Linked DNA regions of Oreochromis niloticus. The protein of the gene in region 1 purifies or fractionates together with the protein of each later gene. This does not show direct contact. Links are inferred from orthologs where the notes say so. Each region holds a gene or a part of one and is shown on either strand. Other genes may lie near its edges.

The links. Proteins that work in one complex are often made in the same cells at the same time.
Region 2: the proteins of ing4 (region 1) and meaf6 purify together in Homo sapiens (affinity purification with mass spectrometry; 5 studies listed by BioGRID and IntAct, counting the BioPlex papers as one, with this or other methods). This does not show direct contact. The link is inferred for Oreochromis niloticus from reciprocal best matches to the Homo sapiens genes ING4 and MEAF6.

Annotation. Positions count from the first base shown.
Region 1 is NC_031976.2:23,063,541-23,071,052, reverse strand, and holds the start of ing4 (inhibitor of growth protein 4), read right to left. Parts: upstream 3,037-7,512; 5' UTR 2,951-3,036; coding exon 2,884-2,950; intron 2,660-2,883; coding exon 2,588-2,659; intron 1,552-2,587; coding exon 1,385-1,551; intron 1,278-1,384; coding exon 1,163-1,277; intron 1,048-1,162; coding exon 936-1,047; intron 855-935; coding exon 710-854; intron 1-709. Other genes in the region: nop2 (28S rRNA (cytosine(4447)-C(5))-methyltransferase), read right to left, coding at 4,248-4,672, 4,766-4,902, 4,981-5,078, 5,171-5,293, 5,396-5,485, 5,578-5,717, 5,805-5,945, 6,058-6,145 and 2 more.
Region 2 is NC_031985.2:13,858,677-13,865,668, reverse strand, and holds the start of meaf6 (chromatin modification-related protein MEAF6), read right to left. Parts: upstream 3,070-6,992; 5' UTR 3,020-3,069; coding exon 2,930-3,019; exon of another isoform or gene 2,929-2,929; intron 2,271-2,928; coding exon 2,155-2,270; intron 1,785-2,154; coding exon 1,697-1,784; intron 1,608-1,696; coding exon 1,562-1,607; intron 1,466-1,561; coding exon 1,273-1,465; intron 1-1,272. Other genes in the region: stpg1 (O(6)-methylguanine-induced apoptosis 2), read left to right, coding at 3,307-3,375, 3,469-3,570, 4,142-4,312, 4,400-4,508, 4,589-4,757, 4,840-5,030, 5,694-5,800.

The DNA of each region.
Region 1 (7,512 bases):
AGTGGGTTATAAAATTGATTTGGTTGAGGTTTCTCACAGAGCTTAAATGTTTTTTAGCCCTAACATTTTCGTTTAGCTACAGCTCTTCTGACGTTTGATGGCTGAAAAATACTGGGGGGAAAAAAAAAATGAGGCAAACAAAGATGTGCAAAATTTCTGCCCACTATTATGTGCTTTAAGTACCTGTAACTCAAAATACATTGATAGTATTTAATTACCTAAATTTTGATTTGCTTCATTAAATCGATTAAAGTAATATCCATGCATTTATTTTCTTAAGTGTTTGTCAAATTCAGGGTCACAAATGGGCTGGAGCCTAACCCAGCTATCTCAGTTTTTTTTTTACCTACAACAACAACAAAAAAACATGTGATACAGATGGGAAGTATTTTCATATTTTCTTGATTTTATATCAAATGAGCCTCTTCACATTGATGAACAACAAGAAAATACGTGAATATTTGAAGTCTGTAAAGGATTTATACCTAACAGAAAGTCAACCAAAGACTTTATTATTTGCTATAGTTTTCAGTGTAAACATTTTGGTTGCTACACTTGCGCTCTTTTTCTGTTAAAGACTTGTGCTCTAAACCATGTAGCTTTTCAAACGACAACACACATTCATCAACATTAAATGTAAACTTGTGTCTATACCGATCTCATGTGTCCTCTGATTGAGTGTAAGAGGGCATTTTAATACAAAACTCACATCAGTGTTGTCACAGCCGATCATCTCGCCATAGGAGACCTGATGACATAGGCAGTAGGTGGGCTCGTTGGGGTCCACTGGCATATCCAGCACATCGGATGGGTGCACGTTCCCAAAGTTGGAAGAAGGGCTGTTGAATTCTCCTCTGATGATTAAAAAATGTTGTGTGTGAGAAAAAGAAATAACAATGACGAGACCATCAAAAACTAAACAGTGCCCAACATACGGCTGAAGGAGTTTCACTTTCTTCTGTGCACTCTTAGGACTGCCGTCTTCATCTGAACTCTTCACTTTAGACCTCGTTTTAGCTGCCTTCTTCTCTTTTTGCCTGGAATCTCCTGGGATTACAAAAGCATGCAAGACATACATTATAATGAGTATGGATTTACTTAACTGAGCACGTAACTAATTCAACAAAATAAAAAACTGGGGGCAAATACAGTGTTAACCCACCTTTCTTCCCCTTACTAGAGGTGGAATCATAGTCTGTGCTCTCGATTTGCTTTTCCTTCAGGTCAGCCTCAAACCGAGCCAGATCCGTGTCCAGACGTCTGATGTGTTTATCCACCTGCACAAAATTCAGGCCATGCTTACTCAAATACAGGGCAGTGTATTTATAAAGTTATTTCTTCTAATAAACATGTCTAAAATATGTTTATTTTCTAAGATACCAACCATTTCATAGGTCTGCATGGCCAGCTGCACCTTATCATCTCCAAACTCCTTGCATTTACTGTATGACTGCTGGATCTGCCTCAGTATGGACAGCTTTTGCTCAGAGGAGAGAGTCCGGGCGTTGGCAGTGTATTCTTTAGCCAGAGAGTCTATCTGGCCTTTAAGATCTAAAAAAATAATAATAATCATAATTTTTTTTTAAAAAAGATGAGAAGAACTTCTAAACAATGCTGTCTGTGATTACGAATATAATTTTAATACCTCACACAAATAAGTCAAAATGTTTTTTAAAATAACACAATTGGATATTCAGTTTTCTTATTTAACTGGCATAAAACCAGCAACCTAAAACAGTGAATTATGATCTTAAGGCTTCAAAAATGTTCATCAACTTTTGGGTTCTATCCATTCATCTTCTTCTCCTTATCCGTTTCTGGTTGCTGGGGTGGCTGGAGCCTATCCCAGCTGCCATAAGCAGGATACACCCTGCACAGCTTGCCCTTCTATTTGCACAGCTAACACTGACAGACAGACAACAAATTTAGAATCACCAATTAATCTAATTCCATGCATGTCTTTGAACTGTGGGAAGATGCCAAAGCACCCGGAGAGAACCCATACAAGTACCGGGAGAACATGTAAACTTCAGGCAGAAGGACTTCAACTGGATTTAAACCCAGGACCTACTTGCTGTAAGTAGACAGCACTAACCACCACACCAAACCTTTAAAAATGTTTTTGCTTAGGACATATAAATACATAATAACACACCTAACTGTTTTTACTCTGTACTACTACTATTATCATTATTATTATTATTATTATTATCATTTGTATTTATTTAATTTCCTTATTCTTGTTTTAATGTTGTTGATCATTTATTTGTTTTGGGGTTTAAAAAGTAATATATAAATCAAGATGACTTAAAAATGTTATTATGCGACTCCTCATTACACATTGAGATAGGGTGCGAGCTGGGTCAATTTAAGAGCACTAAATAAAAGTACATACAGGTGATAATAAGAAGAAAACAATAATAACAATAATTAGGGTTGTTTTTTTTAGAACAAGGCTTTTTTTGGTTAGTAATCTAATGATTCCTCGGACTTTCGTTGGGGTCCCTGTGTGGGGGTAACCCATTTACCTCCATTATAAAGTACCGTGTTTTGTGGGTTAATGAAGATCCGTGTTCACTGAGCTTACCCTCTGTGCGTTGATCTAGATCCCTCATCAAATTAAAGTTCCTCTGCAACTCGAATGGCAGGTTTTCTATGCCTGGTGTGGCAGGAAGGCAGGAGAACAAAGATTTTTAAGACATCAACACGAAACAATGAAATAACAACACTGGCTAGCTCAATCTAATGTCTGAAGTGATGCTTTTTCGGTTAAGCTTTAAAATTCTCAAGCACCCCATTAAACAACAAGTGGCACAAATACAGCTGACTATGAATGCTAACTGCATTTAACTTGTGCCAGTAGTGGCAATACAGAATGCTTACGAGCCTTTCTTTGCTCCCGTGCGACGCGCTGTTCCAGCAAATAGACTGAGCCTAAACCCCTGACCATTAGGAAACCGTTAGAACACTCCCTTCCGCACTGAAGCTGATCAGGAGATACACTACACAAAGAAATTAAACTATAAAACGACTAAGGATGTTTTTCAATGCATCAGAAGCACGTACAAATTCACTTACTGTCCAAATAATGCTCCAAATACATTCCCGCCGCCATCTTGGAAAATGTAAACAACACAGCTTCCGGACCGAGATAGAGCTGATCTGATTGGTTATTTCCAGAGCGCACACAACACCGAAGGAAGAATCAACAGCCACCAAAGTACTGCCAATTACAGGTGTAATATTCAAATTATCATATGGGTAATAAACACTAACAGGTATGCAAGAGCGTCCGAGATCATTTAAAATGATAGGATAACTTCACTCCTTTTAGAAATCGTCAGAATCCCCATTTTAAATGTATTTTTAGCAAGGTTATTATAGTTAATCTCAACTAAAGAATAAAACTATAAACGTTTTTAGGTAACTGAATGACAATAAATAAATGAAACGACCTTGTGAATTACAAAACATATACAAGAAATTTCTTTATATTTTCTGAAAATGTGAAATAGGTGCAGCAATTTATTGGAACACATGTAAACATCAGTGGTGATGATTTGGATTTGTAAGTCTAAAAGACCCGTTTCCACTGATTTTCACTCCAGTTCTTGTCTAACCTGCCATACCTCGATTTAGACAACAGAACGGTGACTGTCAAGAACTGCTGAGATTTCTGATGACCCTTCAAGAAACATTAGATGAATTCAGAAGGACCTCTCAGGTCCTGTGTCAAGTCTTTGCTGGATTTGTTAGTTCTTTAAGAAAATTACTTTTAAACACTGTTCATCTGCTGTAGATTGTCTTTTTTATACCCACCACTCCTCCATTTCTCCAATTTCCTCAAATTCTTTTTAAGGACACACTGCACATTGCGCTGAAATAAACAAGTTTTCAGCTAAAAGCTCTTTGGGAATAATTTGACATGTTTGGACACAACACTGGTTCATCCTTTGAGTTACGTGCCTTTTTTGTGTGTGAATGATTCATAGGTCAGTAGTAAGTGTTCTTAAAAGATTTATTTCTCACAGAATTATGGAAAGCATTGAATCTGTATACAGAAATAAAAAAGAAAGCTCCAGCTTTAGTAGGAGCATTGTTTGTGAGTCCAATCATCAGCACGCAGCCATGTTACAATCACGTTTGACACATACTGGCTGCACAAACAGAACAGCTTCATCAGACAGAGGTGGATCCACGTGTGTAACAAAGCTTTAAAAAAATCCAAACATGCATTTAACACACTGTCACTCTGCGTTTTGTTTTTGCAACATGTGCTTCAACTTGTTGAATTTATTCTTTCCCATTCTGTTCTTGGCCTTCATGGGTGTTTTCCTCTTTTTGGCCTGCTTTTTCTCAAACCTGGTTCCTTCCTTTGTGTCAGCTTTTGATGCTTTACCATCATCTGTTGTCTTCCTGGCTTCTGTGCCCTTCACAGTTTCTCCATCCATCTTGGCGACTTTTGCCTTTTTTGATCCAGTATGCAACTCCTTTTTGCCTTGTGAGTTGATGTTTGCCTTTTTTGTGACTACAGTTCCATTGGCTTTGTTTTCTTGCTTCAGGCTGCCTGCCTTGTTGAGGACAGTCTTCTTTGTCTTGTCGCTCTTGGACCTTTTCTCTTCAGGAGCTTCTGTGGCCGCTGTCGTCTCAGGAGCCTCTGCCTTCTCATCTTCTACAACAGCAACAGAGACAGATGTTTAGTTAGTGATAAACAGGGAAAATATCATAATCAACGTGGGCATGAAGCTATGACAAAAGCTCTTACCATTCCCTGGTGGTGCAGTTGGAATTATGTTGGAGAACTTCTTCAGCTTGGCCACAAAGAATCCGTCCATGTTGTGGGAGTGAGGGTAAAATCGTCGCGTGAGTCGCAGAGTCGGATGAAATCTGAACTTTTTGAAACTAAAAGAAGGAAAATATTCATGTTTTATTCAGTTTCTTACTTGCTCCTAAAATACTTTCACTGGTTATCCAACTTACTTGGTAAAGCCTTCCTTGCCAAAGTCGAGTCCTGTGGGAACTAATTTGACGTTTCTTTTCTTTAAAGCGTAGTCCACCACCCATTCATTCTCTTCCACCTAGTTGAAAATAATACAATCACTTACCAAGCTCATCTGATATTTACTATGTTTGTACATAAATGTGGTAGAAATTCAGAGTTTCCACATACAGTTATTGAGCACGTGCAGTAGACCAGATATCCTCCCGATGGGGAATCCGCATTGACCGAGTCGATGGCAGACAGAATCAATTCTTTCTGCAAGTGAGCACAGCGATTGATATCCACCTCATCCTGTCAGTGAACAGAAGGGCAAAAAGAAACAAGTATTAGCACACTACTTAAAGCAAACAGACATGTGTATAAAGACAGAAAAAGTTTCTTTTTTGGTTTTACCTTGCTTGTCTTCACAGCTGGATCTTTAGCAATGACTCCTGTGCCTGAGCAAGGTGCATCAAGCAGCACCCTATCAAACCCACCCATTACCTTAAAGCAGAATTTCAACAGGTCAGAACATTAAAACTCTAATAAGGCTTAATCCCACAGATATTGCTTATCTACACATTTAGACAGGATACCTTCGGGAACTCTCTGCCGTCGTAGTTGCAGACCACAGTGTTGGTGACCCCCAGACGGTGGATGTTTCCCACCACACTCTTCAGTCTTTCAGCATTGGCATCATTAGCCACTATTACCCCTGTGTTTCTCATCAGCTGAGCTAAGGGTGAGAACAACTGCATAAGGACTCCACGATTTTTAAGGGTGAAATAACAACATAATTTGCAATAAAGGCAACACATCTTACCAATATAGGTAGTCTTTCCTCCTGGAGCTGAGCTCATGTCCAACACCAACTCTCCCTCCTGTGGAGACAGCGCCATGACTGGCAGAAAGCTGGAGGCTCCTTGGAGCATATAATGACCGGCCAGATACTCCGGAGTTGCACCTAGTTAACATGTAAAGAATCGGAGTTAGAGCTGTAGTCATACTCAGATATTCCCCAGTGAGCATCCTTATTTGCTTAAGTTGGTCACTGACATGACTGTATTGAAACCTACCTACAGGTACTGAGGAGTCATAGATAACCAAACCCACTTTAGACCATTTCCCCAGTGGATCAAGGTTCACTCCTCTGTTGATTAAAGCCTAAACAAGGAAAAGCACAAACCAGTGAATTCAATATGTAAAGACTTGAGTTTCCTCCTGACATGCAAGTAGTTTTTCCTGTTAGCTCCCAGTTATGTGTCTAGAGACCAGTCAGATTGGTTGGCGAGTGGTTGCTGGCAGTTGCTGCGTGAAATCGGCTGCAAAGTTGAATAAGCTGTGGCACCAAAAAAAAAAAAAAATCTTGTGTTTACTTTGCTCACTAGCAGATTGCCCATAATTTGTATGGAACGTGCTGACTTGCCAAGCGCTAGTGAATGTATGAAAAGTGCAACGCAAACCAGGAACAGGGAGCGTTTGCCCTCAAAGAGAAAAGCTGCACATTTTAAAATGGGCTAGATGGAGCTGTAAGGCACAGCTTTTAATCTGAGGGTGAATGTCTCCAGTTTGCGTCACACTTTTTCCAAGTTTTATAACCACTTGGCAAGTGTTTGAGAAGTTGGCCCCTCCCACAATAAGGGTGACCACAGCCCTCAATAGGAGGCTTATGACGCCGCGCCCTCTGTGCAAAAGATTTTAGCAACCAACATCCAGCAAGTATCAGCCAGGCAGGGGATGCACATTTCTCCCTGATCACATTGGCAGATGTCACTGACTGCTTTTTAGGCTTGTGAGACTTTGCATCTTAACTCCATAATCAACAGTAAATCCATTAATACATATAATATACATGTAATATTCTATAGATTTTACTTTTATTCCCATCCAAATATACTGCACCTTTCTTCTGAAAATGCTAACCTAAGTACAGAATTCTTCGGCCTGGTTGCCAAGTTTTTGTTCAACAAAAACAATTCTATATCACAACAGATACACTCTTTAAAGCAATAAACTACAAAATAGCTAACAGGCATGACATACATTATGCATTTTAACTTGTTAAAATACTCTAATGCAAATTTAGTCCATGTCTCTTAAGATCAGGCACCTACCTGTGCAAGGTCCCGCCTCCTTGTTTTCAGTGTATTGGTTCGAATAGTGACAGGTCTATGAATTTCATTGGCCTCGAGGAAATCAACCAGCTGTAAGGCAGAATGAAAATATAATGTTTGAAGTCAAAAAGATATTCTCAGCTAGACCTTGCATGTTTAAATCAATGCATCTGTGAATTCTTTTAAATCAAATGACAAAACAAACAAACAAACAAACACACGGGGAAAAAAAATGCACGGAAGAAAACACACCTCTGAAAGAGGGAATAGGTCCATAAATTTTTCAATGAGGAACTCGTTGTAGCTGTAATAGGTGCAGAGATCTTTTTTCAGAAGTGAGATGTAGTCTGCTCGGTCTTTCCCCTCTTCTCTTTTTGTTGAGAAATTGCACAGGAGGTCAATGTTGTCCTTTATCCG
Region 2 (6,992 bases), on another chromosome or scaffold:
ATCACGCCGTGTTAGGAGGAGAACCTGCTGTGTTAATATGTAGGCATAAACAGTGAGGCCCGAGTCAACAAAAAACATGTCGACATGACACGTTAAACCTAATTTGTCTTAACAAACTTGTCATTTATTGACCCTCCGATAATCTCAGAATAACCAGGTTATTCTGAGATTGTAAAGCTTGGTGATGTGGACCAGAAATCTCTCAACATATTTTAGGCTGAATACCAAAACAATACCCTCCATTCTCTCTGAAAGCAGAAGCTCAAATGTCACAAACACTTCAATTAACCTGCTGTAAGACATCTGTTAAGTTGTCACAAAAAACAAAAACAAAAAAGGGAGCAATTTTATCTCGGAAAACATGTTATTCATCTACTGCTGCCTCAACTGGTTAGTCTGTGCTATATCGTGACTTTGGTTTTTTCTTTGCTTTATGATTGCTTTTGTCATGCATGGGAACACCAGCACACCCAAAATATCTTTTTTTGGCTTGTTGTGCACTAATTACGACCAACTCTCGTGTCTCCAGCACAGCTTGCGTGTACTCGGGCTGGATATGCAAGTGTACAAGCAGATCTGCAAGTGTCAGATAACAGAGGGAGATGCTGAAACAGGAGGAAAAAGTGATACGTTCAGTAAAAAACAAAACAAAAGACACACAAAAAAAACAATCGCATTCATTTCCCTGCTATTACTTTTTCCCCTTTTTGATTTTTTGTTTTTCCCTGAACTGTGACATCTGTCATCGAGGAAAAGACTACAGTGAGTGCTGAGGATCGCAAAGTGTGAATACTTCTTCTGTCCAGAAGAATGCTCCTTCATTCAACCATGAGAAAATTTAATAGTCTACTGGAAGAGAAAATACTCCTTTTATACTGGCCTGCCCCCAAAATACCTTTAAATAACCCCCACTGTGTACACACTCACACACAAAGGGAGCAAAAAAACAAGACAAGAGCTACTGGAATCCAAGTTGCAAACTTATTCTAGCCATACTAGATCACTTTTTGTGATCTCTCTGTGAACAACGCAATTCAATGAGCTCTCGCAGGTACAGGCAGTAAAATAAGAAATAGACTCCCTGGTGTCTCTGATTGAAGCCACGGGGGTTTAGTCACTAGTAGGAACTTTGATGTATACAGAAATTTTGTGCAAACATGTTCTGTAACGTGGCTTGCCAAGAGCAGTCTACATGAACGGCTATGGACAATCAAAAAATGGAAGGAGATTTTAACAGCATGCTGACCCCACCGTCATTCCTTTATTTAATACCTGTGTCTGTTTTTGTTCTTCCTCTTCTTGTGGCTCCCGTGGTGGCTGCCTGAGGAGGAGGAGGAAGCAGCCTTCTGAGGCTTCAGGTCCTGCAGCGTCGAGTCCACATCCTCCGTGTCTTCCTGGCTGGGCTCGTTTTCTTGGTTCTGGAGATCTGGAGAGGCATCGCTTTCTGTGCCGCTGCCTGCCTCACCTGAAGAAATCAAAACAACAGCATAAATGACACAAATTACCACCAGTCCACAAAATACAAACTTTTAATGCTGCTTAGCTCAAAAGCAAAACTCACGCTTTTCATTCATGTGATCTGGTATACCACCGAGTGCACAAACGGCCTGTAAAAATGTCACAGATTGAACAGTTTAGTAAGTGCTTTTTGTTATTATGCAGCATATCTGTTTAAAATAATAAGCAAAAGACTTACTGCAACTGATGTAACAGATGACTTGCTGAATAAACGCTCAGCTTCTTTGAATTTCCTATTCCGTCTATCAGTCTTACTATTGGAGTTCCTGTTAAATTAAAACAAGCAAACAAAAATGTAAAAAAAAATTAAACAATGGTTTGGTCCAAAAGTGGTTCCAAACGCCCACACTGGGAATAAGAAAAAATTGCGTATTTTAAATTATTTTAAGTTTTTCCTTATGAAAAGAAAAGAAAGTTCTTCAGACCCCCCCCCACCCAACTTTAACTTAAAAAAAAGTTGGACGTCCTGCTTCAACATCAACTAGATGTAGTTTTTTTTTTTCTTAATAATTTTACTGGAACTTGATTTCAGCCATCGGCTGTACTCTTCTTCCTCCTGCTGGCTTGTACGTAACTAATACAAGTCAATGGCTGACTTTTCATTTAGTGTAAATGCATTTCCACCAAGCTGCTTACTTTTGGTTGGTGAGGTATCTGTCCCATCCTCTGATGATGTTGCCATACATCTGGGTGTCTTCTAGGTAGCTGCCTTCAAATGCATATATTTGTCTTTCCAAGTTCACCAATGTCTCCTGTGACAGTGAAGAACGTGAAGGAAAAGAATAAATGTTAGATATCTGAGTTTTAGTCATTGTATTAATCAACCTGGCTGGTAAACTTTTAACAGACATTTATTTATAGACACACAAATTAGGATAATAAAATATGTCCCTTTTGAAGTGTTAATTATTCACTTGCATTTGCAGGAAGAATTCAGTGAGCGCGCAAAAGTGAAGATAGCGATGTCTGTCGCAATGCTGATTTATTCCTCATGCCAGAGAGGCAACAATATCACAGGTATCTGGCTGGATGTACACAATACACATGTGACACCAACTTATCGCGAGAACTTGGCCAAGCAGGGCGGCTGCTAAAATTTGGCTACGCTAAGCTGTTAGAATATTTTGTCAAAAGCGCTGCTGTAAAGTCGGTATACGTAAAAACACTTAAAAGAAATATTAAGAGAGCTGCATGGAGTCTTGTTACTACTAACACTACTCTTAATCAAACGTTATCAGCCAAACAACGCTGTCGACCCGCTAACTAAGTGAGCCGCTACCGCTAGCTCCGGCTAACATTAGTTTAGCATGTAGCGGGGCCTCGGCTAGCAGCGCGCACGAGAAAATTTCACGCGGTAAAATACTAAATGCGACGTTTATTTTATAACGAAACCACCTTAACGTCTACTTACGGCGAGTTCTTGTTTCCTCTTTACGAGCTCAGCGAGCTCCCGGCGAGTGTCCGGGATCTGCGGCGGAGTCGCCTTCGCATGCATCGCCATGACGGATAGCCGCTTAAAGTGGACACTAAACAGGGGAGACTAGGTACAATAAAGAAGCCCGCCTCCATTTCACCGACAGGTGGCGCTGGAGTCTCGCGATAGATCTGTTTTCACATCACCATAGCAACTGCTTTAAAATTCCAAGGACCTCGAATAGCGTCAGATGGCTTCGACTGAGTCCAAAGTGGAAATAGTTATAAATTCTTAAGCTGAAAACGTGACATAATGGTTTCTTTTATCTTGTAGCTAGTAAAAGATGTTCAATACAAGCTAAGTACCAAATAGCGATGACAACACATCAGGAAAAGAAGGGCTTTTCCACCCAGGCTAATAGGTTTGCTTCTCAAATTAGTCTGGTAGGAAGTTTAACTCCATCAAAATTCAAAGCATTTTAAAAGAATAATAATAACAGTGCCGCATAAATAACGTGTGTGGTCTTTGTGTGTCAGAGTGAAAGTCCAGGACCGGGAACCTACGACTGCTTTACCAGCACTGAAGTCAACAGTCCTTCCTTCTCAAAGAGAGGCACCACCGGCTTTTTCCCATCCAAGGTCAGGAGGTCCACTATGTATCATCTTGAAACGCCTTTGGGCATTTATTCTTGTTGATTATTTGTACGAGTCAAATCAGTTTTGTTTTGTTAAATCATACTTTTTGCCCCAATAGGGCTTTAAAAAAATCCTTACTTACCCTGTAAGTTATTTTCCCCCCAGCATCATTGCTAGTGGATTTTGTCTGTGTGCCTTTTTATGTATTGCCTGATCCAGGATGATTTTCTCCTATGGGAGACAATAAAGTTATCTTATCATTGTTAGATTGGTGTACACACCCTGCCATTCATCCTATGTTAACAGACTTCAGCTTCACTACAACCCTAATTTGAATAATCTGGCAGGAGATGGCAACCTTTAATGTCAAAGTATCCTTTTCTGAGCAATTTGTGACCAAAAAAAAAGTATGGAGCCACAAAACATCCTTGAGCCTTATAATGAAGATGACACAGAACTTAAAGTCAGTGTTAGTTATGGCTCCAGTACTCAGTTTACCTGATTACTTTTAGTCTAATAAATTTTAATCCCCTGCTGCTTTTAAATGTCTTCATCACTTCATCCTCTCTTCCAGGTTGACAGAAGGCCACAGAGACCCACTCCAGGCCCAAATGCATACAACCTACAGAGTTCCTTCATAAATAAATATGACTTCAACACTGGAGCCTCCAGGGTCTTCAGGCTGCCCATAGCTGTGCAGATGGATGGTCCCAAACATATAACTCCAGCTCCAAATCAGTATGATGTATGTGTGCTGATTATAAAAGCTGATTCAGGGTGTAATCTCTGAGATCCTGTTGTGTATTTTGTGTCATTTTTTCTTTCTGTACAGGTCAGTTGTGTGAGGAGAGTAAGCATCTCCTCAGTGGTTGGTACAGCGCCTTTCCTCTCAAGAACAACACGGGATTCATTTTGCCCAAACAAAAATGTGCCATCACCAGGTCTGCTTTGAAGTTTTGTCTCTTTTAGCCTCTTATTAAATTTGCACTTAAATTTTTAATTAAAAAAAAACTTCTAAAAGGCCACTACGAGGTGAACAGCAGCTTAATCCAGCATGGTTCAAAGGCGGTCTCGTCACCCTTCAGATCAAAAACTCACAGAATCCTTCCTCCGGCCGACCACCGTGTGCCGGGCCCGGGGGCCTACAACCCCCATCAGGCACCCACCCCAGTGAAGAAGACCATCCTTCCGTAAGTAACCATACAATGTTTAGGTTTTGCTACTTTTTTTTTTTATTATCTAAAGTTTATATCGTTTTATGTGTGTTTGAAGGAGAAGATATTTTTTGGCAATAGCAGCACCTCCTCAGACTGTACCTAAGGATCCTCCTTTGCCGGGCCCTGGGCACTATGACATAGGGCAGTATGACCGGCCATCAAAGCAGTCCATACCCACTGCTGCTTTTGCATCCAGAACTCAAAGAATACCCCAAAAACCGATGGCTGATAAGATCCCAGGACCAGGTAATAAGATAAATGAGGCAGTTTTCTCACATGCATTTGATCTCTGATTTACTGGGCCTTAAATAACACTGGTGCACATGGCAATATAGATATCCAGCACAGTCAGATCAGGCATTGGCCGTTCTGTAGTCTGAAAGCTCCTCGGTACAGTTATTGTGATATTGGATTGAATCTGCTGTATTTAACACGTTAGCTATCTTTCCTAGACCACATGCATTTTTTTTTTTAATCCAGCAAAACGGGTGCCCATTGAAACTTTTCTGTGTACACGGAGTGGCTGTTGTGTGGCCAACCATTTCCTAACAATAGTGATCATTCGGATAGTCTAATTTTATATTAAAAAGCTTTTTTATTTTTTTGTTGCAACATTTCAGTCAATATTTTCATTATGCATGGATACAGCATCTGTCCCGGGTTCAGTTTTTGTCTTTAACCTCATTGCTTAGCTCAGAACATTGCTGTAGTCTTCATGTATTATTGCATCTATTAAAAACATATTTCTGTACAGACAGGAAAGAAGCTTGAATGAGAACTTTCTTTTTCATTTGTTTAGGTTACATTCTACTTTTTGATGCTTGGTTCTTAAAAATGCGAAAGTCTGGTGAGAATTAATTTGCCTATAGTTTGCCTCACTTGCTCTCTTCTCTTTCCCCTCACTCACAGATGGTTTTGGCAGATGGTTCCCCCTTCCTGAACCGGGATCTACCAGAGGTTTCTTCCTGTTAAAAGGAAGCTTTTCCTCTCCACTGTCACCAAATGCTTCCTCATAGGGGGCTTGTGTGATTTTTGGTCTTTCTTTCTAATACTGTAGGAATCTTGTGTCCACTGTTGTGATTTGGTGTTACATAATTAAAATGGAATTGACTGAATCTGTTTGAAACAAGGCGTCTTTAATAAACTGGTGGTTTACACATTTGCCTAACTAGCTTTGATCCCAGGAGGAGATACAAAAAAAGATCTGCCAAACCAAACATGTGGAGCAATCCCTTATGAATAAAGGAGCAGCCAAAGTAGTTGTTATTGCATTCATGAAAGCATTAAGTAAAACTTTCTCTCTCCTTCCAGGTTTATATAATCCACAGCCCTTGTCAAAGCAGTCCTTCTTTTACAACGACTCCAGAGTCTGGGTTCCTGTGTGAAGCTTCCAGCTCAGACTGCACTGTAGATACGTACATCTTCACTCAGATGAACTGTGATTGTTGCTATTCTTTGATCGGCACTTTTAGAGTGAATAAGATGAAAATTAAATGTTTGCACCAATTTAGTCTCTAGTTCCGTGTTTATGTTGGCCAATCAGACCTTGGAATGTTTGGATGTTTTCGGAAATGAATCATAATTAGTATTTATCCACTGTGGTGGTGGTGGTGGTCAAATGCCAGAATTCTTGAAAAGCCATATGTTTTGTCCTTGTGGATTTGATGCTCTAAAGTGATATAGAAGAAAGTGTTGGCACAGTCCCCAGCAGCTGCCGGTCCAGCCAATGGTACGCCACAGTAACAGCTGAGAGCTCGAGATGACACCACTCTGCCAACTGCCAGAGGGCAGGCGGAGGGGTGGAGTGACTGTGTATGTGAGCAATGTGACTGACTGGGCATGAGGCAGGGTGGTGTTTAACCCAAAAGACAAATGGACGCATCACTCAGTCCCTGTATCACATGTTGCATTGGAGCTGAGTCTTTCACAATGTTTTAAAAAAATCAAATATTATTATTATGTTATTAATGCACATATGATTGTAAATGTTCTTTTTGTAAGGCCTTGTGCAGCTGTGGACCCAGATTCTCTTTTTACTTCATTTTTTTTAAATTTTCCAAGTCAGAAAACACAACATAAAGTTACACACGCCATCTTTTAAATGTTTTCTGTGGTTATTGTGATAAATGTGCCACTATAAACCATTTTGTCCACATTAATCATGGAGCAGGTCCTGAGCAGGAACAGCAGCTTTGTGGTTCAGATAAG